Kluyveromyces lactis: one gene and its partners. The protein of the gene in region 3 binds, or shares a complex with, the protein of the main gene of each other region. Links are inferred from orthologs where the notes say so. Each region holds a gene or a part of one and is shown on either strand. Other genes may lie near its edges. The genes, in order: MRP7, MRPL17, MRPL50, MRP35, MRP49, MRPL3 and MRPL23.

Region 1 (4,441 bases), on a different chromosome or scaffold from region 3:
AACCTTTGATCCACCGTTCCATCCTTCTATGAAGCACTTCTCTCATCTGCTTTTGTTCTACTTTCCCCATATATATAAGTTATAAGTGGGTTTTTATATCTGTTTCCACTGTGTATATTCTTTCTTGGTTACACTTCGTCTCTGTTCCACTGAAAGGTTAACGAACTCAGTCGAAAACCTTCTTTAAGCAATGCTAAAAACTAGAGTGGTTCCTCTAGCATTGAGAAGCTTTGCCAGAGCAAAGTCTTCTTCGACTTCGGCTCTTGCTTATAAGCAACTGCATAGAAATAAGGCAAGACCTCCTTTACCAACGATCGAAACTCCATCTTGGTCTACTAACAGTGCCATCTCATCGATCCTATATGAAAATCCAGTAATCTCAAAGGAGCCAAAGAAACAACATGTTTTGAACTGTTTGGTTCAAAACGAGCCAGGTGTTCTATCGTTAGTCTCAGGTACTCTAGCTGCAAGAGGCTTCAATATCGATTCCCTTGTGGTCTGTAACACTGAAGTGAAAGATTTATCCCGTATGACCATTGTGTTGCAAGGTCAAGACGGTGTCATCGAACAAGCCAGAAGACAAATCGAAGATTTGGTACCAGTATTTGTCGTGTTGGATTACTCTCATTCCACCATCATAGAAAGAGAATTGTTGATGACAAGAATCTCTTTGTTGGGTGCTGAATACTTCGAGGATTTGATTCATCACCATGAACAAGATGAAAATACTGATACCGTTGAAAGAATAAGACAACAGCAATTCCATCCTTCCAACCTTCCACTGTCCCAAGTATTGAGATTGAAGCATGAACATTTAAACGACATCTCTAACTTGACTGGTAACTTTGGTGGTAAGATTGTTGATATCGCTGAACAAAGTTGTATTGTGGAATTATGTGCTAAACCATCCCGTATCTCTGCATTCTTGAAACTTGTGGAACCTTTCGGTATCTTGGAAGTGGCAAGATCAGGTATGATGGCTCTACCAAGAACCCATTTATCTGTCGGTGATGAAGATGATGCTCAAAGCAAGATGAATGACATCGTTGATATCTCTCAATTGCCTCCTGGTTGATCCAAAGGGCTCACCTGCCATAGTTTTGTACCTCAAAACAATCCAATATCAAAAAAATAGTAATGTAAGAGTATGTTTTGGATTTTGTCTCACACATATAGACAAATTAAATACGTTAACGATATAATATGGAATTAACCTTTCCAAATGATATATAGTCTCTAAAAAACTTTCGTTTTTTTCAGTTTAAACTATGATGATTGTTGTGGTTCTTTTGTTAATATGTACAAGGCTCTAAATGGTTTGTTACGTAACGACTTGGGGAAGATTTACAATTTGCTCAAGAAATCGGTCTTTGGTCTTGTAATGACATCTATCGTGTTTTGTTCGTAGTTGTAACGTCTGGTGGTTAGATTTTTCTTGGAAGGTTTGAGTGGTTCTTCCAATTTCTTCAATTCTGTTTCTGGTTTCACTGGCTTCAAGAATTTTCTGCGTAGTCTCACCTCTTCAGATAACGTCAAGAAGTTCTTTGCATCAGTAAACTTGGCTAGTACTTGCTTCTTACTGTTCTTGTCCTTAATATCAATTGCCTTCAAATCAGTAATTAGTTGTGTCTTTAGAGTATTCTTTTCTTCTGGAGAAATGTATTTAGTTAATTCAAGCTTGTTGTTAAATGACAATGATTCATTCAATTTGGTCGAGACCTGTTTCAACAATGTTAGTTTGTCGTCCAACTTAGATTTTTCTTGGTTTCTCATCTTCAATTTAAGTTCTTGTTCCAAATAGTAGTACGAATTAAATCGGGCATCGGATTCATTGAACCCATTCTTCAAACAAGTTCTCCATCTGAGCAAATATGGTAATGCAAACGCAAGTTCTTGTTGATCCAGCTCAACTTTCAGATCTGAAATTATCTTGCTGTATTCTGCCTTCAACTCTTCACGTTTAATCTCACGTTCTTGCTGTTTCTTGATCAATTCATCCTTCAGCAAATAAATCTTTCTTGGTAAAGCGTTCTCTTCTGCAATGGCTTTCTCTTCATCCTCAATGATGGCCTTGCCGAATCTTCTCAAACGTGGTTCGAAATGCGGCAAAGGAAGCTTTACATCCTTGTATAATGATACACCAATGAATTTCTTACCTGGATGAAATGGATCCAAATAGTATCTCACATAACCCGGCTCCAAAGCGAAAAGCGTATGATCTTTACCGATGCCTACATTTTCACCAGGATAAAACTTGGTACCACGTTGTCTCATGATGATCTCACCAACTTGAGTGGCTTGACCCTCGTATTTTTTTGGACCCAATCTACGACCAGCAGAGTCCTTCATACTGGTACGAGAACCTGCTGCACGCTTGGTTGCAGTACGCACCTGCTGCACCACAAACTTGGGAACTTGTTGCCACGAAGATGAGAACATTATGCGTTGTTTCGTAGGCCTGGTCCGAACAGTATCAAGCAATGTCACAGTAACTGTATTTCTGCGTGTATCTGTACTTAATGTATTTAAGATAGGATTTTAGTGACAAAAATTTTCCACAGTATGGCGGATTGTAAGGTAGGGTAACAACGAAATCCAACAAGATATAGCCCTTCGAAGGTTCGTGTAACTGACTGTTTAAGAGTTGAAAGTATTGATTTATACATTTTACCAATTTCATCTATTGCTGAGAGTTCTTTCGATACCATAGTGAATTTTTCATGCTTGAGAAGGAGTAAACGTCTAATTCACGTCAAAGTTATTCGAAACTGAGGTTCCAATTAAAGATCTACCATCACTATATACGTTTTGATGTTCTCTTCCAGCACGAAAAACTCATATTTCTCTAAGTACAAAACATCAAGAAACCGACACTGCTTGCATCGAAAAGAAGTCTTCACCTTTCAGATTTACGTTTGAATAAACAGGACGTCCATTTATAGAAGTTTCCCAAATTAATTATCGTGCTGGTGAAGCCCATATTATCTAATTGAAATAGGAATACTAAGAACCGACAGCCCATAGATAAAAAAAAAATAAAACAAAATATATCAGTGATTCTAGCGAAAATGGCAACGGAAGATAGATGGGGTCTTGCCGTGACTCAATTACAAGATCTATATAAAATAGGAGATATTGCGGGGTTTGAGTCTTTAGATCCGAAGAATATGAATTTCCAGAATATGAATTTGAATCAATTGGCTGATATCCATGAGAAATTAGAGGCTCGTCAGTCTGTAAATGAAAAGATGAGAAATTACTGCAGAGATTTGGTAGAGAACATTTCATACATATTAGATAATTATCCAGTGGAAGAGGAACCTATATTAAAGGAGGAATCCAGTTCGACGCATATCCCTGAATCGAGTGTTGTTGGTAGATCACATTGGACCAGTCAATTCAACCCAAGTGAACCAATTGAGGTTGGTTCCGAAGTTGCATATAAATCTAAAAAGACTGGCGAATGGATCCAGTGCATATGCACAAAAGTTTCTGGGGACGGACTCCGGTTTGAAGTGAAAGATCCAGAACCCGATGAATTTGGGAAACCAGGTGGTATATTCAAATGTAACTCGAAAGAGATCCTCTTGATCCCGCCCGTGACTATGAAAAGAACCCAGACTCCGAATTATCCAGCGAATACAAAAGTTTTGGCAAGATATCCAGAAACAACGACTTTCTATCCAGCTATTGTTTGCGGAAGCAAAAGAGATGGGACATGTAAGCTACGATTCGACGGTGAAGAGGAAATAGACAAGGAGACTGAGGTGGAAAGAAGATTAGTTCTTCCTTTCCCCTCTAGACGATGAGTTTCTTAATTATATCACGTTCACGAAATGTATGTAATTTTCCATAGCCTGTAACAATAAAGAAAAAAAAATTATGAAAGAACATTAAATAAACCGTATCACATTGAGATAATGTAGGAACTAGTAGCGGTGCCTGTTTGTGATTTATCGCATCAGACGCGACAGACATTAAATACCATAGTTCTAGTTTCTTATTGTCGAATATTTTGTATATGATTCATGGTGTACCTTTTTAACAAAGTGACACTTAAATCAATAACAAAACTGTGTTTTGTGCTATTGTTAGTGAATCTGGTTCTAAAACTGATGAAGGCTCCAATTTTGCCTTTATTATTCCGGATATTAACCACCTGCCCAGCGAACAAAGATGTATGTATCTTTTGGTGGCAGAAGTATTCGATAGTAGAACAATGGGTATGGAGGTTGATTGATTATATTGATTCAGAGAGACTTCAGGTTCCACATGAACAAGTTTAAGTCACCATTTCAAAGTACATCTAGTAAATCGTGATTGCTTTGCAGTAATAATTTTGTAAGTGTCTCTTACAAGTCAGTGAGATATATAAATCTGTATAATATTATGTTTGTCATTACAGAGGTTGGGTTTGTGCTGTTGTTCTAAATATCAGTGT
Region 2 (4,047 bases), about 530 kb from region 3:
GATCTGTCCGTACTTCACTGAATGAGATTATTGCGTTGGATTCACATTCAGCATCAAAATACGTGTCCTGGTCGAGAATTGATGGTAGTTTGACTGTCATGAGGCCGCCGTTAACATCAGACCGATCCCAAGATCATGTCTTGATTGGATCGATTAAGAAGGACGTACATGGGGAAGGCAAAATAGTGTATTCTATTAGTTGGAATCCCAACGAGTTACAGTTTGCCTCAGTGGGAAACACTCCGACTGTTAAAATCTGGAACGTTGTGGATGATAAGTTGAGTGTGTTGAAAGAGTTTAAGACAAACTTTAAAGCGAAGAACTTCATAACGGAATATGATCCTTCTGGAAAGTACCTAGTTGTAGCGACGAAGACGAATGAAATCTACATTTACAATGCAGAATCTGGTTACGAATCTTGTATCTCTTTTTCCCCTGATGAGAAATCGGATGATGCCATACATTCCCTTTGCTGGTCTAATGATTCCAAACAAATTATCGTTGCATATAAATCAGGATTCATAAAACTATTTTCACTCCAAGATGATGGATTAAAGTTTCTCTGTGAAAGGCGGAATGATATGAAAACCATCACGTCACTAATAATGGATCCATTAGGCAGAGCATTGTTAGTCGGAACTCATAACGAATGTTCTATCTATTCGTTACCTGATCTTGTGCCCTTGAAAAAATCAATCAAGACAGATAATAGAATAACTGGAATTGACATTTCTTTTGATGGGTCAATAATATCTATTTTGAGCAAAGCATTAGACTCTCACGATTCATTTTTAAGTCTCTATTGGTACAATGATTTGTCTATCCTATACAACACGGTGGTTAAAAATTCATCACGTTCCACAATCAAGTGGTCAAAGTCGTGCTTAATATTTTACACCACTGGTGCTCTTGATAAAATGACAATGGTTGATTTACGTTCAGGCAGACCGAAAACTATGGTATCGACCGATGATCGTAAACGAAATGATTTTGTTAAGAAAAGCACCGATCGGAGCAGTAGAACTCAAAGAGACACACCACAGCGCGGGAAGAGGGATAAAGAGCTGCGCAAACAACCATACAAGAGAGATGCTGATAAATTCAGTGAGAAGTCGTTTGGTCGCTCCAACACAGGGTCTTCTTTTAGAAAGCCAAATGATAGATGGTGATAGATTTAAAAGTTAATTAGCATTCTTACAAGTATATAATGTTCCAATCTTAAAATCAATCAGAGTTCAGCAATATGTATATGATTGTTATCTTTTAGTGTTCGATACGGGTTGGAATTTCTATCCGAAGCAGTATTTACAGGAGGGTTTACATATATATATAGTGATTAAATCATGCCAATACTTTCTGTGTTTGATGATAATATGTTAATTCTCAGCAAGAACATATTGTATACTATTGAAATATCTCTCGTCAACAGCTTTCTTGATTTCATCTTTTGTCAACCATGCAAATTCTTTGATTGACTTTTCATCCTTTAACTTGAATTCACCTGCTATGATATGCGATTTGATCAAAAACTGGAGATCTTTTTCAGATTGTAGAACACCTGCTGGAGTATTCGACACAGTCCATGTATTAATATCTTCTCCGCCGATTTTTCTTAATCCCACTTCAGCGGTCTCATGTAAAGCTTTCTTTCCTTCCTTAGCTTCAATATCAACCGGGAAACTTGGAAGAACCCAGCTTCCCTTGTCATCCTTCACAAGCAAATGCAGAGTTCTGTCCAATTTTCTGTCTAAACTAGTAATATCGTTATTTTCGTCTGCCTTTGTAGTTCTGGAATTAGGAACAATTGGCCTTGAGACATCAGACTTGTTTGAACCTTCTGAAGCCTCTCTTGGTAGCATAATATCTTGCTTTTGACTTCTTTCTCTGTTATGTCTGACGTCTGGCACTCCTTTAGGGAACCATACACCAGGCTGCTTGCTAATCACACCTTTCTGTACAGACTGGAAACGACGCTCTGCCAAAGTACCTTTTTTGAAATAGAAATAAGATGGAAATGTCCACATTAGTCTTCTTTCCAGTTCTGCCTGGTATTGGTAGTACTTGTTCTCTAGTGCATTCAATTCTGGAGTGACGATTGGAACACGAGAAAGTACCAAACCTGCCTTTACTGCCTTGGGAATCGAGCTTGCTGCTGCTTTCACAGACATTTTTATTTATAATTGTGTCGATGAAGAGGGTTGCTGACTGAATATACACGATGATTGACAGCTGGTGAATATGCTTCCCAATTCTGATAAGCGGCACTATTTCAACATGATGCTGATGTTCCAATAATTTTTCAAATTGTTTGAACATCCTCTCATGCCTACTATTCCAAAATTTTTCAATATGAAATAATCGATCACGATATACGGATTTGATAACTTTCCAAGTGGTGTCACTAATAGAACAAAGTAGTGAGTGAATTGCATATGCATAAAGGCTATCAGATACAGAAAATTATTTAAGTGCATTTATATAAGCATTATTTTGGCGTTTGGTTCAAAATATTCATCAATGTGTTTAATTGCGCAGTTGGATCGAAATTTTGTGGGGGTTGAGGAGATTTTTGGCCCGAAGGTTGAGTAGACTGATGCGATTGCTGCTGCTGCTGCTGCTGCGCAGATGATGCCGATCCCAGCAGTTGATTTTGACCATATACCATTGATGGAGGCTGCTGATACAATGGCTGGTTATAATACTGTTGTTGGATTTGAGGAACGTTCGGTATTTGTGATGTTTGAACCGGAGGAGGAGGAGGAGATATATTACTGTAGGGGATAGGTGTTTGAGAGACAGCAGTAGCTTGACCAACTTTACCAGACTTGGGACCCAAAACACCTTTATCAGTTGGCATCTTTTGCGAAATCGCTTTTGATGAAACACCTTCACCAACAATAATATCGGGCTCCTCATAAACCATGTTTGTTTGGATTGGTTGACCACCAGTACCACCCCATTCCGCGGACTGTGACCATTTGAAGTCAATTTCGGTTAGCCTGGCCAATGGGATGATTGAATATCCATATTGATAGTCACAACAGTCTCTAGGACCGAAACCAACGGCCCAACGGATTCTCAAACCATGTGTCGGATTGCCACCACCAGTGAAATGCGCCATGATCCTCTCCGCTTCTGCTCTTGAATAGACTTTCACAAAGGCGTGCTTACGGGCATTATTCAAAATAACACTCTGAACCTCACCGAATTGTCTTAACATTCTTGCAATATCATGTTCTTTGAAATTTTGTGGGACACCACCAACGAAAAGGGTTCTGGAATATACTTTTACGTGGTCCCTTGGCACAGTTGGATCAAAGGATACCGGTTTTGGCCTAAAATGAGGGTTTGAGGGAACATTCTGCTCATCTGGGTACAAATGATGGTTATTTCCTTGTTGACCATTAATTGACTGCTGCTGTTGTTGTTGTTGTTGTTGTTGTTGTTGCTGCTGTTGCCTAGATAAATGCAGAGAAGTTGTTGCCTGTGCTCGAGATCTGTCATTTTTGTTTCTTGGGGGTGATCTAGATCTGTCATTTCTGGAGTCTCTTCCAACGTACTGCGTTGAGCGAGTAGACCTTGACGATGAAGAGGTAGAAGAGGTAGAATTATCTATCGAGCGAGGAGCCTGTTTGTTTACTTGAACCAATTTTTGGTTCTTTGTCAGTTCAACTTGCAACTTTCCTAGAAGTTCTTTCAAACAAGAGTCCTGTACCGATATGTCCTCTGAAAATAAACCAGACGGGACTTGTATGCCAGGAAGGTTTTCGAATTTCGGTATAGCGTTCAAGACTTGATCAATTTTACTACCTGAGGAGGACTTATTATCATTACTGGGAGCTGGGCGTGGGGTTAAAGACGAATTAGATGACGAAGATGGAGGGATCGAGTTGCTATTTACAAGTTCACTCAAACGACTCCTTGCTGCATTCAAAGGTTTGTTGTTAAAAACGTTGTTTTTATCCCAAATATTTATTAACTCCTGAATTTTTTCTAGATGGGCTGGATCACTTCTTTCAATACCATCAATTAGTAAGGGTTGTATAT
Region 3 (3,709 bases):
TTTGGTACTTTGAACACATTCTTGTTAACAAAGTTATCTTTTACAAAGGTTGGTTTTAGTGCCGATGGCAAGAAGATGCCATATATTGAGGAGCAAAATAACACCTGGTTCACATCTTTTGCCACTGGTCGTTCTACTATTGAAAGCGTAATTGTTAAGGCACACTTGACGGCTCGTCACAACCCATTGGCATTGTTAACTCAAAAGGCATTAGCTTTGTTTTTACCAACATTAGTTGCCAACGACATTGAAGAATTCATCTCAGTTACCATTACTCCAAATGGCCAATTCGTCTCTACTGAAGATGCTAAGCTAACTGCCAACTCAGCGGAAACTTTGTCCAAATTGAAATTCATCACATCTATCGTTAACAAAGCAGTGATGACTAAAGCTCGTGACTCAAACTACTTTTTATCATTGACCCATACCGCTGAAAATGAATCTTTACCAGCAGACTATGTTTTCATGTCCGAATCAAATAAGTTGAACGGATTTATTCCTCACTATGCCGGTGAAGATTTCAAGGTGTTGCTATCTAAATCTGCCAAGTTCTTGAAGTTTATTTCTTTCACTGATTTACCAGAAGAGAAACCGATTACTGACAAATTATGGGAGTCTTCTCAATTGCCACGTTGTGTCATCTACTTATCCTTGGTAACTTCTGACAAAGATATCGAATTGTTGGAGGAATTGATAACCAAAGTTGTCGAAATTTATGACAATGTTACTAAGGATATTCAAACTAACTCATCCAATTCTTTCATCACCACTGATATTTTGAAGAAGGGTATTCAATTGCGTAAAGAAGAGTTAGGCAAGATTGTTAAAGTCATGCAACAGGTTGAAAGAGAAATGGCTCTTGAAAAAAAACAAGAAGCTGAGAGACAAAAGAGAAAGGATATGAGAGACAAGTTGACCGACCAAGAACTTGATAAAATGGAGTTGAAGAAAAGAGAAAAGAGAGAAAGACGTCTGAGAAACAAACAGAAAATGAGAATTTAGAAAGTTCATCACTATTGGGGTTGTTTCTCATTCTCGTCTCTTTATTTCCAAAGCAACAGTTAAAGCTGATCAAGAGAAATATGCTCGTCCAGGTGATGAGCGTTCCTGTAGTAATAACTCTCTTGTCAATCCCCATTTAGTATGAATCATCCAGATCTACTGTCCACGTTATTACTTCAACTGGTAGCGATTGGATGCAACGAACTTTCTTTATTGTTTTCGCAAGTTATTTTAATGTAATTTATGTACAAGTGTATGAATGTGCCTCTGAACCGCAATGGGGACGAGACGTCACGAACAACATCCATGATCATTATTATTTTGTAAGACATTGGTATCTCAAATGATCCGCGTAAGGAGGAAAAAAAAGATAAAACATTTACTATCATAAGTCTAATCCTGGAATCTTCACATTCTCGATAGTTATTTCTTCGTTTAATGCTGACTTAGGAGTTTCTGGTGTCTTATTTTCTTCCTTGGATACCTGCTTAGCCTTCTTTACGTTCTGTTCAGTCTTCTTCACCGTTGATTCGGTTGTTTTTAATAAAGCTGCTGCTGATGCACGTGATCTCTTAGCTGAGGTCAACAGGGCTTGGTCAATATCAGTTTCCTTTAGAATGTAGCGGGCTCCATTATAGTTGTGCAAGAAGTTTCTCATTAGTGAGGGCTTGACATTTACCACCTCGCCGGTATGAAATTGGAACTGAGGAAAATCTTTTAATAACTGTACCTGTACTCTCTTTGTACGTTTGGTTAAGGCAGAAAGACACGATGATGTCGGTCTGAACATTTTGCTGTAATATTTTAAAAGCCCTTGGAGCGTGTGCAGTTATTGGAATAGCACTTCAAACACAATTGACGCTATTTTTAATTCCCTGCTTATGGTTAACTTTTAGATTGATCTTGTTCTAATGTGATTTTAAACTATCAAAAATTTTTGAAGCTTTAAAATCATATCTAAGTGCCAGCCTAGTTAAAAGATGTGTACATAAAAAGAAGATAAAAGATTGGTTTAGCGAGTGACAGCCGTTCATACTGTACTACTCCGTGTTTGTAACCTTTGAAATACTTATTTATAAATGAACTGCGTAATGGATACAATCTAACCTAATACGATTCGCTATAAAGTATTGTATGGGTGTATGGGTGTATGGGTGCTTTCGTTGTTTCAACATCAGTTTTTCGAATTATTCAATCAACCTAAACAAAGCATTCACTAGCTTTTGGTACATTAACTTACATGCATCAACTTGTATAGATGAGACATATCATCTGCTTACCTCCTAGTAGAATAAACTAAGCTACCGCTAGATTGAGATTAAAGAAAAATCAAAATCAAATGTCTGCGGCACAGAGTGGAGCAACGGTTGAACATCAACAGGCACAAACTGTGCCAGTTGCACAACCAACTGACATGTATATCCAACCGTATTTGAAGAAATTAATACCAGAATTGGATGGGCTAAGTAAGTTACAAGAGGCTGAGAAGAGAATTGACATATATTTAAGTCGTAAAAAAATTGATTTGCATCAGAATATTACTCAATGGACTCATTCCAAATACACAGATCCTGCGAATAATCAGTTTGTTCGTGTTTTCATTTCTAATATTTCTGAGAACCAGCCATGGCAGACGAACGATGAGACCATGGAACTTGATCAAGCATCATGGACATTGCGTATTGAAGGTAGACTGTTAGATAATGGGAAGGCAGACGATCCAAATAGGCCTAAATTTTCCTCCTTTATAGAAAGCGTCGCGATAGATTTCAAACCTGTAGAGGAAGATCAAGATGATGAAACTGATCAAGAAATGGGAGACCCCTTATTAGAAGGGACACAGGAACCTAGTGCTAAAAAGCCAAAAAATGAGCAAACCGTTTTTGAATGGCATGTGGATCCTAATACTCCTGTAGAGTTTGACGGTGTTGATGTTTCACGTAAGGGTACTGAAAACGTTAACTGTACCATCACTATCCAACCAAAAGGGTATACAGGGGAGTTCTTACAGTATTCACCAGAACTATCATGTATTGTCGGATTCTCAAAAGGAACCTTTCATGAGGCGATATACTCTCTTTACAAATATATTCTATTAAACAGTCTATTGACGAATAACGACGAGGCGGGACCAAAGGATTCCACAAACGGTGAGAAAGTCTTAGTGAAAATGGATGCTTCATTAGCAAAGCTAGTGTCTCCAGAAAGGCTTGCCGCAGGCATTGTTTCTTTGAAGCTCGCCGATTTGCCAAGTCTAGTGAAAGATCATGTAAAACCGATACCTCCAATAAGACTTGACTATACTATTCGTGTAGATCAGTCTTCCACTTTCGGAGATTTGGTATTTGACATGGAAGTACCTAAATCAACGTCAGTTAAAGGCGACCAAAAGTTGTCAAAGGATGAATTATTGCTATTGAATGAATACAATACGCTATCAACTGCAATCGAACCACAAATACAAGAACTAAATCAGAAAACACAACTATTACAACTACAACTAAATTCAAGCGCAAAGAAATACCAATTTTTTGATAAACTAGCTAAGGATCCAGTTCCAATGCTACAAGATTACATGGAATCGTCATCGCAGGCTCTCAAAGTGTTATCAGGGGATGCTGGCTTCAATGAAGATACAGTGAGAAGATCACAATTCTACCAGGACAACGATTCAATTCTTTTTGAAAACATTGGAGTTCTACTTTCA
Region 4 (3,727 bases), on a different chromosome or scaffold from region 3:
AGTCTATGTGTTGTACATTCGGTTATTGCTATCACCATGGACTCCATGGAACCCGAACCCACAAACGGATGTGGTTTAGTACTCGATGCTGAGAAGGGATATGTTATTGTTTCACGTAGTTTTGTTCCTCATGACTGTTTGAACACGTTTGTCTCGTTCGCTGAATCCATTCTTGTACCTGCTAAAGTTGTATTCTTACATCCTACCCAAAATTACGCTATTGTTCAATATGATCCATCTTTAGTTGACGCCCCAGTATGCACACCAGTGCTAGCTAATGAAAGGCTTGAAAGAGGAGACGAAACTAATTTCATTGGTTACATGTACTCAAACACTTTAATCAGTTCCAAGACTAAAGTCAATGGCATCTCTTCTCTGAGTGTTCCTAACGACATCATTCCTAGGTATAGAGCAACCAATCTAGAAGTCATCTCCATTGATTCGAATATAAGCACCAAATGTAAATCAGGAATATTAGCGGCAGATGATGGTACAGTGAGAGCAATCTGGTTATCCTGCATGGGTAACAAGGAAAAACTGTATTTAATGGGTTTAGACGTAGTGGATATCAAAGAAGTTGTAGATATTCTCAGGGCTGGTAAGAATCCTAAGGTTTCTATTGTGGACGCAGGATTTGATTCCATCTCATTATTGCAGGCTAGAATCAGAGGTGTTCCTGAAGAATGGATTAAGATGATGGAAGAAGAATCAGAAAACAGATTACAATTCATCAGTGTCACCAGAAACTCCTATACAACAATAAAGGAAAGGCTCGAGCCTGGTGATATTATCTTATCAGTTAATGGGAAACTGGTAAAAAGAATGAGGGATATTGGTGGTGTCGTGGGGACTGATGACGATACGGATATCGAATCTGAGTTGTTATTCAAGGTTGTAAGAGATGCGAAGGTTATCGATTTGAAAATAAAAACTGTACAAATTGAAGAAACCACTAGAATTGTCGTATTCGCAGGTTGCGTACTACAAGCTCCTCATCATGCCGTGCGTCAAGTAAAAACGTCTATTCCTAGTGAAGTATATGCGGTTTCTCGTGGTACATCTTCTTTGGCGTTACAGTACGGAATAGAAGTGACCAACTTTATCACACACGTCAATGACCAATCAACACCTGATTTGGATACATTCTTGAAGGTTGTTAAAGAAATCCCAGATAATACATACTGCAAGTTACGCTTAATGACATTTGACGATGTTCCGTTTGCCATTTCCTTAAAGACAAACTATCACTACTTCCCAACGGTAGAATTAAGAAAGAATCCAAAAACAGGTAGTTGGATCGAGAATGATATCTCGGAGACTTAATTTGACTATATATATGATTAATCATTTTTTACCGTTGTTTGCAAATTGTATATAGGTATTTATTAATGATAATTATCCATTATAGTAACCCGCTGATTTTTCATGACATGCTTTACTGAAAATCATGGTAAGAAATGGTGTGTCATTCATTATGGGGATGCCATTGTTATATGTACAGGATTGAAATCGAAACGATATCTTATTTTAATTGCCTTTCATCTCTTAATGGTATGGAAGCAATCTCTTTAAACGATGCATATGTGTGGAGTCTGCTAATGACCTGCCAGATAATGATTTAAGGGAGTTCCTACTCCATCCAGCATTACCATGATTTCTTCCAGCCTTGCCCCTCTTGAAGCTATTGGCTGTTTTTCTCCATCTTTTTGCGGCACCTTTGTGTGTTTTCATCAAGTTTCTGGTGAGGATGAGCGATGAAACATTAGTTTTAGATCCCAGAAGTCCAGTTCTAGCGGAAAAGTTCATCATCGAACCAAAGATAGAAGATAGCATATTTGAAGTAGTTCGCTGGTGGGGTAAATCCTGCTATAGTCCGTTAACAATGAAGTACTTGAATTGTAGCTCACTTTCACTCAGTACCTTGCCATAATCTCACAAGAAACTTTTATTACATACACTTCTTTCAGAGAAAACAAAAAATGTCATTTATGTTGAAACGTATGTAGTGATATACTATCGAAGTGTTTAAAATTACAATTTGATTAAATTGTGAGATGGGGGAGATACATGTATATACAGAAAGACGTATTTGTTTCTAGCAAAATGGTAGAAGATGATGTTTTTGAACCAGGGGTATTTAGGAGCACATATTTTGCAATGAGCTGTTATTGAAAAGCGTTGTTCTCGTATTCTTGTTCTTCTGTGTTTCTTTTTGTCTTGTTTTTGTGAAGAATTGATAACTATTTCTTATTCTTCACGTTGTAATGTTGAGATCTTGTCGTTTACGATTAACACAGTTCACGCTGCTTACGAGTCATAAATAACTTGGGTGAAATGCTACAACTTTTTGTTTGTAAAATCATAACTTTCTTGGTAATTCATTCGTTTAGATGTTGCATGGTATGTTGCCATTATGGTCATTAAGGTGAGACAAAAACAATGAGCTATTGTAGCTTTACTCATATTGAAATGAATTAAATTCATTCGTGAATATCATGCTAATTTACGCGAGACCTTGAGCACGGTAGGCTGCAATAGCTTCGTCGATCTTACCCTTAATGAATGGATCAGCTCTGATCTTTTTCTGGACCTTGGTAGCCTCAGCGAAAGTAGTAGCTTGTAGTTTTTCATCGAAAGATCTTGAGAGATCGGCAGCATCTTCGAACAATTGAATGGCATCATCAATTTCTTCTTGTTGCAATTTTAGTTGAGCAAGACCGATCTTGGCTTGTTCGGATCTTGGATCGATCTTACAAGCTTCTTCAAATAATTCGGAAGCTTCAACGAAGTTTTCAACGGTTGGGTTTCTAATCAAAGCAGTGGCCTTACCAATCATTGGAGCAATACCGACGTGAATACCTGGTAAAGCATCTTCCAACTTGATGGCAATATCGTATTGCTTGATGGCAGCATCTAGAGAGTTCTTAGCAGCCAAAATTTCGGCATAAAAGTTTGGAACTTCTGGAGCAGTTGGGAACTTTCTTCTGGCTTCGCTGAACAAAGTTTCACAATCATCAAATCTATCGTCACGGAAAGCCAAGCAAGCACATTGGATGTAGGCAAAAATGTTTTCTGGATTTAATTCCTTAGCCTTATCGAAATCGGCACCAGCTTCTTTGAAGTTTTCAACAACAAAATGCATTTGACCGCGATGATAGTAAACAGCAGAGCAGTTTGGATCTAATTCTAAAGCTTTGTCAAAGTATTCCTTGTATTGGTTGGCTTCACCCTTGTCAGCCATAATCAAAGCCATGTAGATGTAAGTAGAAGGTCTTGGGTTCAAAGACAACGATTCTTCCAGGTTAATATGCGCGGTAATTGGATCATTTTTGAAGAACTTGAAAATACCCACATGTTCGAAGGCGATGGCAGCCTTCTTCTTCAAAGATTCATTATCTGGAGAAGATTCTAATTCTTTCTTGTATAACTCGGCAGCCTTGGTGAATTCTTCATCAGCCAATTCGTAACATCCGGTTTGACATTTGTACAAGTTTTCCAAACCTTTTTTCAACTCAACATCTGCTTCATTTTCGCCATCGTAATCATCGAAAGAAGTTTCAGGGTTGAAGATACCGAAGAATGATGCCAAAGAGGTGTTAGATGGTAATGGAGATTCTTTACCCTGGTTCTCCTTCAATTTTTCACCCAAGACCTTTGTGGCTTGTTTGTTCATGTTTCTTTCCAGCAGTTGCTCCACGGATTGACCGCTGTATTCACCCAACAAAGA
Region 5 (3,770 bases), on a different chromosome or scaffold from region 3:
GCGAATGCTATAGCAGCAAATTCTTTAAAATTCGAAGAGACTTGCTTCTGATCTTCTAAATTGAAGTCGAACAAATACGGTATTTTCAGCCCAAATTCTTCGTTCCACTTACGGGATAATGCAATACCAACTTTGAAACCATTTTCTATCTCTTCTTGTGGAGACAACGCCTCGAATACAACATCCAATGCAGTATTCTTCAGCAAAATTTTCTCATTATCTTCCCAGTATGCCGGTGGAAGATATAGACTCCCATTTTGTCTGTGTGAAATGCTCTTCAAATATTTGTACCAATGGCTTTCAACTTGAAATATGAATACTTCATAAATATATGCAATGTTTAATGCCAACATGCCTTTTACCTCGCTATCAACCAGTAGATTGGCAATGCTACTATTTTCTGCAGTGAAAACAGAAGATTTCGGAATCCTAAGGAGTACAGTGTCCTCCTTCAAATCCTTTAATGCAAACACTCCTAAACCACCATAATCAGATCTTCTAATCTCACAGCCGGCAGTGTGGAAAAACCCCTTGGATTCCAGTACAAATGTTAGAATATCATCTGTATCACTGGAGTCTGTATTAGACATTCGTGTTGTTGGGTTGAGAGTCTTCACCTGTGAATAATGCCCCTACTATATGCCTCTTTGGGGTGTTGATAATTTCTGTGGTCAACCGATGAGATGAGATGAGATGATGAGATCTGAAGCGATTTATCATTTTCGAGATTGAAAAATTTCAACTGAACAATACGCAGAAAACCATTTCCGCAGATGAAGAAGTCGCTGTTAATGTAAGATGTCTTAATGACAATTAGATGTAAGAGGCGTTCTGAAATTCAAGTTAAATAACCACCTGGTAACCATATACTGGCGTTTTAAATCTTCTTCTCGCGTGTTCTTGAATGTCTTGACGATCCTTGGGCAGAGAGTCAACTCATCTCAAAAGGATATGTCATTTGAATAAGACATCAAATCGGATGAAAAGTATCTTATTATATACATATGTACAGGACCTAACTTTGAAAGTAGTATATTTAGGTATTCCAGTTTGTTTGTTTTTCTTTGTCAAAGGTCGGAGCTCATACCTTTATTATTTCTTCCTGGGGTACTCTTTTGTGTTCCAATTTCTGTAGCACTTCATCCATAATTTCAGATGAGTGTTTGTGCTTCATTGAAACTTCAGCTACAACCTTCCCATCGGATCCAATAGCTTCTAGTATGCATGGTACATCGACTTTTTTATCATCGTTTCTAATTCTGGTCACATTGATTGGCAACGCAGGGTTGTAAAACTGCAGAGAAGGCAAAAACTCGTGCCAGAACTTACGGGCACCCATATGGCCATTGAAATTCTGATACTGGAACTTCACATTCAATGCACTGTACTTCGATACATCTAATATAATTTGAGGTTTCACGGTAGTCGCACTGATCTTGTTCAAAAATTTTTGTTGTTTAACGATTCCTGACATTATTTATTAATGATCTTCTCTAGAGTGACAATGAGTATAAGTATCCAATCGGTAAAATAAACCTTGACGATAAAGTAGAGCAACCAGGACCCTTCACTTTCAGCAATATCACTTCAATCATCTATTTCGTAAAATCATTCTCATTTCAACTGGACATGTCCACTGAACTTTTTGAATTTTCAATAGTTTGGAAAAAAATTCATTGGTCACGTGAAATCATTCGACAGAAGCAAGTTACGTCCAAAACATAAATGAATGTGCCATGACTTACCCCAGTTTACAATTTATGTAGCATGGATCGTGAGGGAAGGACTTGTGATGAAGTCTTATACATGCATTCAAAATATGTAAATGCCATTGATTATAGATAGATAAATACTCCAAAAATAAGATTATTGCATCGAGCATCCATTGGAGAGTACAGCAAAACGAATGAAACGAATTTTGAATTGGAAGTGCGTACATCAATCCATCTAGTATTGTACGATGGTCATTCAAAGGAATGTATCAAATAACGGCAGCGTTTCTGAAGGCAATGAGCCGATATATCAAAACAAAAAAAAAAAGAAAAGGGACTAACGGGGGGAAAGGCGTGTTAAAGTTTACATATTGTGTAGATGCAAGATAAGAGGCATGTTGATATCTGAATTTCATGAGCAAGTATGCCTGCTAAAAGTTGGTGAAAATACTATGGTACGGATCTTCGCCTTGAATGCCATAATTAACCTCTTCCTCTGGATACCTATCGTATTGAGAGGTATCGCCTTGTCCGGCCTGAATAGGAGGTTCATATGGAGTTTCAATGTTTTTGCAGAGTAGTTTTTCCCACACAACCTCGCTGAACCACGGATGATTCTTTACGTCCTCACTTCCATTTTGTAAATTACCTAGCCGTTGACTTAAGTCTCTTGTGATGAGTTTCGATATTAGATCTTGAGCATCAGAATGGAAAAATGGTGGGAATCTTACTGGAGCATTTAGAATATTCTCATAGGTCTTAATTGTGTTTGAATCGTAGAAAGGTGTATATCCTGCTAACATTTCGTAGATTAAAACACCAAAACTCCACCAATCCACAGATTTGTTGTAAGGTTTTGTGCTTACCACTTCAGGTGCGATATAGTCCGGTGTTCCACAGAGAGTGTAAGTGACATCAGGAACATATTTAGCGAACCCGAAATCAGTTAACTTGATATGTCCGTTCTTATCTAAAAGGATATTTTCTGGTTTCAAATCTCTGTAAATGATGCCTTTAGAATGTAGGTATTCCAACGCAAGACAAACTTCTGCTGCATAAAACTTCGCGACCGGGTTTGGGAACCTTTGAGACTTCCTTAAAAGAGAGAATAGTTCACCACCTTCGATGTAATCCATGATCATAAACAATTGCTGTGAGTCCTGGAAAGTTCCCCACATTCTAATTATGAAAGGATGGGATACTATACTTAGCATATTTCTTTCATCGTTGGTATGCTCCACTTGTTTCAATTTGACAACGGTGTTTTTTTTCAAAACTTTCATTGCATAGAACCTGCCGTTGTGATTGGATCTCACCAAATGAACTCTACCAAACGAACCTGTACCCAAAGTTCTCAGAATCTGAAAATCATATAATGCATATTTTCCAGAAGTAACTCTTGCCTTGAGGGTAGAAGTGCTGCTTAGATGGTTATGCTTGTGACAATGGTTGCTATGCCTTCTATTTGAATTGTTGCTACTGTCCCCATTTTCATTATTGCTGGAATTGGATGACGAATCTTTGTTATCATTAGTATTAGTAGAGGAATTAGTATTATTAAGATTAGAGTTATTATTATCCGTCTCCATAGGATGATCAGCATCAGAGTTGGTTATCAGAGTTTCGCTGTTTCCACTCAACCTATTCCCCACGTTGCTTCCATCTCGTAGTGGGTCTTTGCTAGAAAGAAGTGGTTCTTGAGAATTTGAACTTGTTGAAACAGCCTGTACCACAGGTAATTCAATTTGATCTGTTCGGCCAGAAAGAAATCCCTTGGATTCGTTGTCAAAAGGTCTCATCTTTCTTCTCTTTGCAGGTCTTGCCTCATGCAAGATATAGCGGTTCAGATTGGAAAAAAAGAGAAAGTTGGCACAGAGTCAAAACAGTGATATATCTCTTATACTCTCACTAGAAAGAGTTCTAAATAAGGCCCAGCCTTTATCCGATTTCCTTCAAACCAAGGTCTGATCTGAATGTTGAAAAAAAAACTAATGATGAAGAAAAGTGTATCTTGTCCCTTATTCGAAATACCCCAAAACAGAAACAAGTAGGTAAGAA
Region 6 (4,416 bases), on a different chromosome or scaffold from region 3:
CTGAACGTCGTCGTAAAAGAACTAATTTACCCAGAATATTAGCTATGACCAAGGATGCAGTGGAGAGCACATCGACCATGTTCTTGGACAAGTTATTCCCGAGCTTCCTAGTGATGATCAGAATTTTACAAATTATCAATCAGCGGCCTGAATTATTCAAGAAAGAGATACGAGTAAAGAGACCAAAACCTCCAGTACTACCTGGCGTAGCATCAGAGGTGGATAACAATGATACGACTGACGTATGTCCCCTATGCGGCGAAGAAATAACAGAACCTGCCATGATTTCATCTGGATATGTCGCTAATTTAGAGTGTGCCAAGAAATGGGTAAGCACAGAAAATACATGTTTCGCGACTGGTGTGCCCATAGATAAACGCATCCGTAAGTTATTAATATAGTTTTGCATTAATTTAGTAAATGAATAATGAGAATAATTGAGCCAGTAGCATTAGAATAATTCTGCATTGGTTTCCATTTGATTGAACATCGTTTGCATCATCATTATATCAGATTCCAGCCTAGAGATTTCTGAATCTAAGTCTGGAGCCGATGTTCTACTGTATCTTAGCTTTAATAACCAAATTTCTTTCAAGATTTCATCGCTTGGTCTATCATTATCTTCAAGATATTGAATCATCCTATCCAAATGATCTTTTAAATCACGTTTTAATAGTTTTAAATCGGAATGATCATCCTGAATTTCTACTCCACAGTTGATTAGCTTATAAGGATATCGTACACTCTCATGCCATTGTATCAAATTGCTAGTTTCAGGGAAGTAATGGAACTTGGATTTAATAATGTATTGTTTCGAATTCAACGACTGTAACATGTCATCGTAATCGTAAATGTCCGGGTCAACCATTAGGATTCCAATTGGATCAGAGGATTTCCAGCTGAAAAGGCTGAGCTTCGTATCAACGTTTCCAACTCCATCACACAGAAAACACTGTGATGCTATTTCATTTTCCAATACAAGGATAAATAGTAACGGACCTCCTTTACTTTCAATGATCGTCGAATTAACTTGCAGCAGAACTTCCTCCTTCAAATCCATATCTTGATCAAATAATGCAGAACAGGATCTAGCTATAAATAAGGCAAGGCCTCAAGACACAACTAAGTTTCGTACAACCTCCTTTTTTATTTCGTTCGAGTACAACAGTGTATGAATTACTATTATGTATTTGTATATTATATTTACAGGGAAAGAAATCTTTAAAAGTTGATCTCAACTGAAAAGGATTATGTGGAAAACATACATTGCTGATGCGGCCTGTCTATACTAACACTTCGCCTTGGTCAATAACGACATTCTGTTGGCCATGCACTGGTTCGTAACAGTACCATTTCAACAAAGCGTCTGTAGCGGCTCTGGCTTTAGCTTCTTTCAAAGATGAACCGTAACCCTCGCCTAATTTCTCTTCACCACTGAAAACGCCAACGATGAACAAGGGTGATTTAGACAATCTACCGTTTTCTGCAAGTAGTTTCGATACCGGTCTTTCCAATCCTTGGCGACGGCACAAAGCTGCCAGTTCTCTGGTTGGTTGTTCGAACGCGAACAAATCTTTAACGTCCAGCTTTCTGGACAAAATATGATCTGCGATAAACTTATGTGTCTGGTTGAAATCTTTGTCGACACTGTATACAGCGGCGAATATACTCCTTACGGCAACTGCCATAGCATTGTTCTCAGTGAAGTTATGCAATTCATCTACGGAATTTTGGAAATAACGTAGTTTACCCAATGTAATGGTAACATTTTCTTTCTTTGCATATCTATCCACTACACTTTGAGTTTCCGGTTCTATACCCCAGGAACGACCGACATTGCTCAAAACATGGTCGTTAATATATGCATCCACAGCAGCATTCAAAACCACACCCGGTAGCCTAGGATATTTTTTCATTAGCTCGGATGTAACTGCCAAAGTTAAAAGACTCTTACCAAAAATGTTCAAACTGACATTGTCATAGTTCACTTCCCCACTAGAACGACACGTCAAACATCTGGACAAAAGAGAATAGGATAAGCCTTGAGGCAATCTTAATCTGGAATGGAGTGCAACTAAATTGGGGCTTGTTAGTTCATGTGCAGGGTTCTTTAACAGTGTACTGATGGTATTCTTATATTCTTTCAATGATGACAGTTCTGATTGGTACAACCTGGCACAAGAAGCAAATCCTCGCACTCGCACAGGGTTCAATAGCTTCAAAACAGACATCCTTCTTTAACCCCCCTCGATGGTGATGTTGATTGCTGTATATATCAATGGCAAACCTCACCAATAGCTCACTGCATCACTCAACTTCTTTCCATCCTCTCTCTGTAACTCTTTCACTAAAATTTTTTTTCAATATTTCGATACTGAGATCTGCAATTACCCGGATATAGTAGACTGTTGATGTTTTCCGAGTAGTCACGTGATAATAATATGTTTTCACAGACATCTCATTATTCCAGATTCTTTCTGATACGGCGCACTTATGCTATGGATTGTCGATGAATCGGTAGCTAAACATATTTACAGACTATTCTAAACTACCATAAATTGCAGTTGGAATCGTAATGGTAGTCTACAAGGATCCCACTCTCATTTGGTTCAATTTTTCGCAAAAAGTGATGTTCAGCCCAATGTTGCGACGGTTTTATAGTGTTCCAGCGACATTTTTCCATCCTACAGTGTATGCATTATCAACGCCATCAAATCAGCACTCTGCAATAGCTATAATTAGGATATCGGGTACACATTCAAAGTATATCTTAAAAAAATTGTCGCCAAAAAAACCGCTACGGCAGAGGAAACCGATGATTCGGTCATTATATGATCCCAAGGCATCAACTCTGATAGATGAAGCGTTAGTCTTGTACTTCCCACAACCACGGACCTTTACAGGTGAAGATTTAGTGGAATTGCATCTACATGGGGGGAAAGCTATTATAAAGGCAGCGTTAAACTCAATCCAGGGTTTGCGGGACTCTGAAAGAGATATTCGTATGGCGATGCCGGGAGAATTCAGTCGACGAGCTTTCCAGAATGGGAAAATGGATTTGTTGAAGCTTGAAAGTATCAACAATATGATTCATTCAGATACAGAATTACAGCGATTGTCTGCATTGCATGGCAATCAGACCGTAGACATTTTCCATGAATGGCGACAAGAGATTATAGAGCAGATCGCTAAACTAACTGCAATTATTGATTTTGGTGAAGATATCGAAACGGAAGATATCGATTCTATAGTGAATGGTGCCAATGATAAACTTTTACAACTATACAAAAAAGTGACTCGATTCATGGTGAAATTAGATAGAATGGCTGTCTTGAACGATGGGATAAAGTTAACATTGTTGGGTGAACCAAATTCCGGGAAGTCATCATTAGTTAACGAAATATCTCAAGACGACGTTGCGATTGTCAGTGATATACCGGGCACCACAAGAGACTCTATCGATGTAATGATGGACATTAACGGTTTTAAATGTATCTTGACTGACACGGCAGGGATCAGACAGGGAACTTCAGATTCTATTGAGATCAAAGGTATTGACAGATCCAAAAAGAAAAGTTTACAAAGTGACTTAGTGGTATTGGTCATTGATGTATCTAACCCAAATATAAGTAAACATTTTGAAGAATTTATCAAGGATAACTTATCTGATAAACCTTTAATTGTCGTGTTGAATAAATCGGATTTAGCTACTGAAACCCAGTTAAAATACTTAATTGAAAAGTTCGATGCAGAATTTAAAGCCCTGAAAATTCATACAGTCTCTTGCTTAACCAAAATTGGATTGGAACCATTAGTTAAGACCTTGACATTAAGTTTCAGAAGAATCTCGGCAACTGAGAATGAAGATCCAGTCACCGTGTCCAATAGAGTCAAAGAAATTTTAAGCACTGATATTCTATTCGGCCTAGATCAGTTCTTCCAGCACAAGAATGACGATATATTAATAGCTTGCGAATCACTTAGAATAGCTTCCGATGGAATTGGGAAGATAACTGGTGATAACGTTGACTTGGAAGAGGTTTTAGACGTTGTCTTTTCGAAGTTTTGTATCGGCAAGTAATTGTAAATAGTTTTCCCATTCATCTGCCAATTCTTCCAATTCTTGCACTTGCTTTTCTAGTTTATTCAATCTGCCAGAAAGCCGTTGTTTCTCATCGACCCAATCACTAATGCCGTCATCTTTCTTGATTTTACTCTGTAAATATTCTAGTTTACCATAATTTTGTTCAGTCTCTTGCTCAAAACTCGACACTCCAGTTGCAGTTACGAAATCAATTCTTTGCTGAATCCCATCCACCAATTCTTCGAGTTTGGATTTCAAAGCCTTTCCCCTCATTTTAAAGCTTTACGTTCAGACAAGTGGTCTATGACACCTGTGTAAAGACGATCATAGGA
Region 7 (3,940 bases), on a different chromosome or scaffold from region 3:
CTCAAACGTCTCTCGTTGGTCCCAACCTTGTTCTGGGATTACCTCTGGCAAAAAAGTAGCACTCATCCGAGAATTGGTCTTGGGATGCCTGAATTTAATCTCAATACCATGTTTCCCAATCTCCCAATTCCAAATATCACCACTATTGCCTGTGCCCTCACTGCTATAAATAGTCTTGAACTGACTGAGTAAATTGCATCCACATCTTAGCTGGCTCAATTCTTCCCGCTCGATTGGTGTAAATCTCGAATCCTGCAATGCAGATATCAAAGCGTACCTTTTCAAACCCTCTTCAATCTTACCTTCGGAAAACGTACCAATACACCCTCTAAGTTGGTATTCACCTTTCTTCAACTTCTTCCATGTGACAAATAGGGGACTCCGTGCAAACTCAGGTTTTAAACCTTTCCCCTGATACAAAAAATCGTTCACGGTTTCTAGTGTTATCTTAGGCACGCGATAAAATTGGCTGTATAACTGGTAGAAAGCATAAAATGCGTATGGAGAACTAGTTTCTAATGACATTCTCTAATCACTTGGCTCTGCTATTGTGTGTTTCCTTATTCCTTTGATGATGATGATGGGATCGTGTCCCCTTATTTCTTAGTTCTTATGTATCGATGTTCCTTTTAACGATTTCAAAATCAAATCTTTGGGTCCACTGCTGCCAAGAAATTCAACATCACTCGAAATTGACAAAAAGAGAAGAGAGTAAACCACCTTGTTAACTTCCATCGTTGAACATTTTCTAAAGTCCTCCAGACTATGATGTACACACGTCTTCTATATGCATTGTTTTTGTTGGTCGAACTGGCGTTCGGAGCCAATTTCTACGACCGTGATGAGAATATCATGGAATTGACACCTTCTAACTTCGATAAAGTCATTCATAGGACCAATTACACCACTTTGGTCATGTTTTATGCTCCGTGGTGTGGTTACTGTCAGGAATTGAAAGGTTCCATGAAATCTGCCGGTAAAATCCTCTCTGGAATGGTACAAGTTGCTGGAGTGAACTGTGATGAAAGTGTGAATAAACAATTATGTGCACAGAACAGAGTATCGGGGTTCCCAACGTTAATGGTATTCAGGCCTCCAAAGATCAATTTGGATAACCCAAAGAAAAATTCCAATGGTGCTGCGTCACAGCATGCCACAGAAGTGTACAAGGGAGAAAGGAAATTGAAGCCCATTGTCGATTTCGCTTTATCTAGAGTGAAAAACTACGTGAAGCGGTTGAACCGTTACAGTAAGTTCGAAGAACTATTAAAATCTTCAAGAACCAGGTACGCTGTAGTGCTTATCTCAAAGAAGGAGAAGATTCCAACTTTATATAAATCTGTAGCCCTCGATTGGCTTGGGATCTACGATTTCTATTCGATCTGGGACGAGAAATTGCAAGGCGTGTCACAATTGAGTTTTGAGAACGATACAAAGAATTGGCCAAATACTGTTAAATACCTCCAATCGTTAGAAAAAAGTGAAACTGAATTACAATCGCCCAGAATCGTAGTGATAGATAGAGAAACAGATACTTATGACGAACTAGACATATTAAAAACTACAGATAAAAATGACATTGCAACGTTCCTTTCGAAATTCGAGTCAAAACCAAGGGAAGGTCCACTCAGTAAGAGACAAGAATACCTCAAATCTATTTTGAATAAATCAAAGTCAAAGAAGTCCAAGACTAAAAAGAACAAACAGAAGACTAAACTTACGAAGGACGACATAGTTCAGGATGAGTTGTAGGTATTTGTTAGTAGCTTGTATATAGATTGTGTTTAACATCCGGGTAACAGTAATATGAGCGATTGAAAAAAATTTGGCTCCAAGCTGAAATTAAACATCAATTAATCAAATCGATTGTCAAGCTAAACATATGATGAGTTAAAAGACAACTGACTGTCCCGAACTATCCCTTTACCTAAGTGATTACAGTTGAATAGCATCACTTAAAATTTAACTTTTTAGGTGCCACGTTTTAACCTGTCAGAAAGGAGGCAAAATAACAATATATTAGAAGTATGTCTCAAAAGGTAGGACATACTGGTTTGGCATTTGCCAGGATGTGGCATCATGTTGATATATCCAAGGACAAGAGAACGCTTGGTAGGGTGGCATCTCAGGTTGCTCTAGCGTTAATGGGGAAGCACAAGCCAGTGTATCATCCATCTGCTGATTGCGGTGATTATGTTGTGGTAACGAACTGCCAAGCTTTGCGTGTGACGGGGAACAAGATGACCCAAAAGACGTACTGGTCGCATACTTCTAGACCAGGTTCATTAAAGTTGACTACAATGGAAGACATGATCAGTAACAAGGGTTACAGTGAAGTTTTGAAGAAGGCTGTGTCCGGAATGCTTCCCAAGAATAAACTTCGTAAGATCAGACTTGCTAGATTAAAAATTTTCGATGGAAGTGAACATCCATACAAGAGTAATATCACCGCATTTGCTGATCAGCAACTAGAGCTGCAACACCAGAAGAAATAGTGTGGATGAATTTTTATGTGACTTCTTAATTTTTGAGAAGTTAACGGCAGCATGTGATGTAAAATCCCTGTATATATTATTATTCGATCTAAATGGTTCTCCTTAGTACGCATACAATGTCTGTCGTTTTTCACTGTACTAAACTCTTCCACTTTACTATGTACATATAGATTGTTATTTAGATATGTTAATTATCACATACAAATCACATACAAATCACATACAGAGATAGAAAAGATATTACATCGCAGTATGCCAAAGCATAATACTTTTGCCTGGAAGAAAGAACATTTAACAGAACAAAAACGAGAAGAATTAGGGAAGGATGTATTTCATATTTGATATTATTTCCCTTGCTCCAAAAGACGATCTACTTTTGCTTCCAAAGCAGCAAGAATTTCATCTTTGCGGGTATTTTCCTCGGTTAATTTATCAATATAGCTTTCCAACTTTAGAACTAATCCAGATAATGTTTCTACAGATTGTCTCAAATTGAGAGACTTGTTCGTAGATGCTCCAGCTGCTGCTGCTGCTCCAGCTGCTGCTGCTGCTCCAGCTGCGCCACCTGTATTCGGATTGGAAGATGGCTTTTCTTCGCTGTCTTCCTGAGAAGGGTTCACACGGATGTTTGTTTCCACGCTAGCCTGTGATGAAGCTTCGACCTTTGCCTCTGGAGTACTTTCGACTTTAGAAGAAGCTGAGGCCTTCGAGGTAATTTCTGTAGACGAATTTTCTTCCTTTTGCTGTGGAACCTCTTCAGCAGCCTTGTCAGGTTCAGAATCGGTGTTAGCTTCCACCTTCACAACAACTTCTGGTTGTTGTGATGCTTTCACGATCTTTTCATCCTCAGAGTCCCATACTGAACTTTCTTCGCTTGGGTTTTCAGCCTCATTATCAGCATCTAAGTCAGAAGCCTTTTGCAGCAACTTGTTTACAGAAGCATCCTTACTCAATAGTTCGTCTACTTGGTTCTTGCCAGTGTCTTTTGCTGGTGGCATTTCTTTCCTAGCTGGACTACCAGAACTAGATGATGAAGCAGGACTTGGTGATGTTTTCTTACTTTTATTACTAGGCGTTAGTTGAATTATCACTTCATGCTTTACTTCTGTGGATGGGGATTGAGATGGAGATTGAGATGGAGATTTTGGCTGTTCTTTAGACTCTGAAGTTAATTCTTTGACTGGTTTCTTGGAATCTGTGAATTCAGGTTCGCTTCCATCATATAAAGTTTGGAGTTTGAACAAAATTGGGCCATCAACAGATTTACCCTCAACCCATTCAGCTGCAGATAATGCTGGTTTACTAGAAGGAGCATCAGGATAAATGTCATCTTGGAAAACCTCGGACTTTCTAGGCACATAGAAAGAAATCGGTTCAACGGCGTGTTCACCTACAGCTTTATAAGCCTTCAACACTTCATTCTCCTTCACATTTACAGATCTTTT

The links.
Region 1: MRPL50 (region 3) and MRP7 share a complex: the UniProt entries of both Saccharomyces cerevisiae proteins name them as parts of the mitochondrial large ribosomal subunit. The link is inferred for Kluyveromyces lactis from reciprocal best matches to the Saccharomyces cerevisiae genes MRPL50 and MRP7.
Region 2: MRPL50 (region 3) and MRPL17 share a complex: the UniProt entries of both Saccharomyces cerevisiae proteins name them as parts of the mitochondrial large ribosomal subunit. The link is inferred for Kluyveromyces lactis from reciprocal best matches to the Saccharomyces cerevisiae genes MRPL50 and MRPL17.
Region 4: MRPL50 (region 3) and MRP35 share a complex: the UniProt entries of both Saccharomyces cerevisiae proteins name them as parts of the mitochondrial large ribosomal subunit. The link is inferred for Kluyveromyces lactis from reciprocal best matches to the Saccharomyces cerevisiae genes MRPL50 and MRP35.
Region 5: MRPL50 (region 3) and MRP49 share a complex: the UniProt entries of both Saccharomyces cerevisiae proteins name them as parts of the mitochondrial large ribosomal subunit. The link is inferred for Kluyveromyces lactis from reciprocal best matches to the Saccharomyces cerevisiae genes MRPL50 and MRP49.
Region 6: MRPL50 (region 3) and MRPL3 share a complex: the UniProt entries of both Saccharomyces cerevisiae proteins name them as parts of the mitochondrial large ribosomal subunit. The link is inferred for Kluyveromyces lactis from reciprocal best matches to the Saccharomyces cerevisiae genes MRPL50 and MRPL3.
Region 7: MRPL50 (region 3) and MRPL23 share a complex: the UniProt entries of both Saccharomyces cerevisiae proteins name them as parts of the mitochondrial large ribosomal subunit. The link is inferred for Kluyveromyces lactis from reciprocal best matches to the Saccharomyces cerevisiae genes MRPL50 and MRPL23.

What each region holds. Positions count from the first base shown.
Region 1 is NC_006042.1:1,139,167-1,143,607, forward strand, and holds MRP7 (mitochondrial 54S ribosomal protein bL27m), read right to left. Parts: upstream 2,440-4,441; coding exon 1,345-2,439; downstream 1-1,344. Other genes in the region: ILV6 (acetolactate synthase regulatory subunit), read left to right, coding at 191-1,075; SGF29 (Sgf29p), read left to right, coding at 3,069-3,809; GCN1 (Gcn1p), read right to left, coding at 4,428-4,441. UniProt on the Saccharomyces cerevisiae protein: Component of the mitochondrial ribosome (mitoribosome), a dedicated translation machinery responsible for the synthesis of mitochondrial genome-encoded proteins, including at least some of the essential transmembrane subunits of the mitochondrial respiratory chain.
Region 2 is NC_006039.1:256,117-260,163, forward strand, and holds MRPL17 (mitochondrial 54S ribosomal protein mL46), read right to left. Parts: upstream 2,169-4,047; coding exon 1,377-2,168; downstream 1-1,376. Other genes in the region: TEX1 (Tex1p), read left to right, coding at 1-1,169; Nrd1 complex RNA-binding subunit, read right to left, coding at 2,486-4,047. UniProt on the Saccharomyces cerevisiae protein: Component of the mitochondrial ribosome (mitoribosome), a dedicated translation machinery responsible for the synthesis of mitochondrial genome-encoded proteins, including at least some of the essential transmembrane subunits of the mitochondrial respiratory chain.
Region 3 is NC_006039.1:791,162-794,870, reverse strand, and holds MRPL50 (mitochondrial 54S ribosomal protein bL9m MRPL50), read right to left. Parts: upstream 1,793-3,709; coding exon 1,388-1,792; downstream 1-1,387. Other genes in the region: KLLA0_C09086g (uncharacterized protein), read left to right, coding at 1-1,002; RSC6 (Rsc6p), read left to right, coding at 2,342-3,709. UniProt on the Saccharomyces cerevisiae protein: Component of the mitochondrial ribosome (mitoribosome), a dedicated translation machinery responsible for the synthesis of mitochondrial genome-encoded proteins, including at least some of the essential transmembrane subunits of the mitochondrial respiratory chain.
Region 4 is NC_006042.1:2,241,045-2,244,771, reverse strand, and holds MRP35 (mitochondrial 54S ribosomal protein bL35m), read right to left. Parts: upstream 1,834-3,727; coding exon 1,546-1,833; downstream 1-1,545. Other genes in the region: NMA111 (Nma111p), read left to right, coding at 1-1,323; protein channel TOM70, read right to left, coding at 2,504-3,727. UniProt on the Saccharomyces cerevisiae protein: Component of the mitochondrial ribosome (mitoribosome), a dedicated translation machinery responsible for the synthesis of mitochondrial genome-encoded proteins, including at least some of the essential transmembrane subunits of the mitochondrial respiratory chain.
Region 5 is NC_006038.1:622,463-626,232, forward strand, and holds MRP49 (mitochondrial 54S ribosomal protein mL61), read right to left. Parts: upstream 1,475-3,770; coding exon 1,082-1,474; downstream 1-1,081. Other genes in the region: RKM3 (protein-lysine N-methyltransferase), read right to left, coding at 1-590; KLLA0_B07205g (cAMP-dependent protein kinase), read right to left, coding at 2,144-3,511. UniProt on the Saccharomyces cerevisiae protein: Component of the mitochondrial ribosome (mitoribosome), a dedicated translation machinery responsible for the synthesis of mitochondrial genome-encoded proteins, including at least some of the essential transmembrane subunits of the mitochondrial respiratory chain.
Region 6 is NC_006041.1:686,159-690,574, forward strand, and holds MRPL3 (mitochondrial 54S ribosomal protein mL44), read right to left. Parts: upstream 2,232-4,416; coding exon 1,284-2,231; downstream 1-1,283. Other genes in the region: PEX12 (ubiquitin-protein ligase peroxin 12), read left to right, coding at 1-401; KLLA0_E07613g (uncharacterized protein), read right to left, coding at 452-1,060; MSS1 (Mss1p), read left to right, coding at 2,576-4,081; KLLA0_E07679g (uncharacterized protein), read right to left, coding at 4,043-4,357. UniProt on the Saccharomyces cerevisiae protein: Component of the mitochondrial ribosome (mitoribosome), a dedicated translation machinery responsible for the synthesis of mitochondrial genome-encoded proteins, including at least some of the essential transmembrane subunits of the mitochondrial respiratory chain.
Region 7 is NC_006040.1:209,864-213,803, forward strand, and holds MRPL23 (mitochondrial 54S ribosomal protein uL13m), read left to right. Parts: upstream 1-2,027; coding exon 2,028-2,495; downstream 2,496-3,940. Other genes in the region: KLLA0_D02464g (uncharacterized protein), read right to left, coding at 1-525; protein disulfide isomerase MPD1, read left to right, coding at 766-1,752; CRN1 (coronin), read right to left, coding at 2,840-3,940. UniProt on the Saccharomyces cerevisiae protein: Component of the mitochondrial ribosome (mitoribosome), a dedicated translation machinery responsible for the synthesis of mitochondrial genome-encoded proteins, including at least some of the essential transmembrane subunits of the mitochondrial respiratory chain.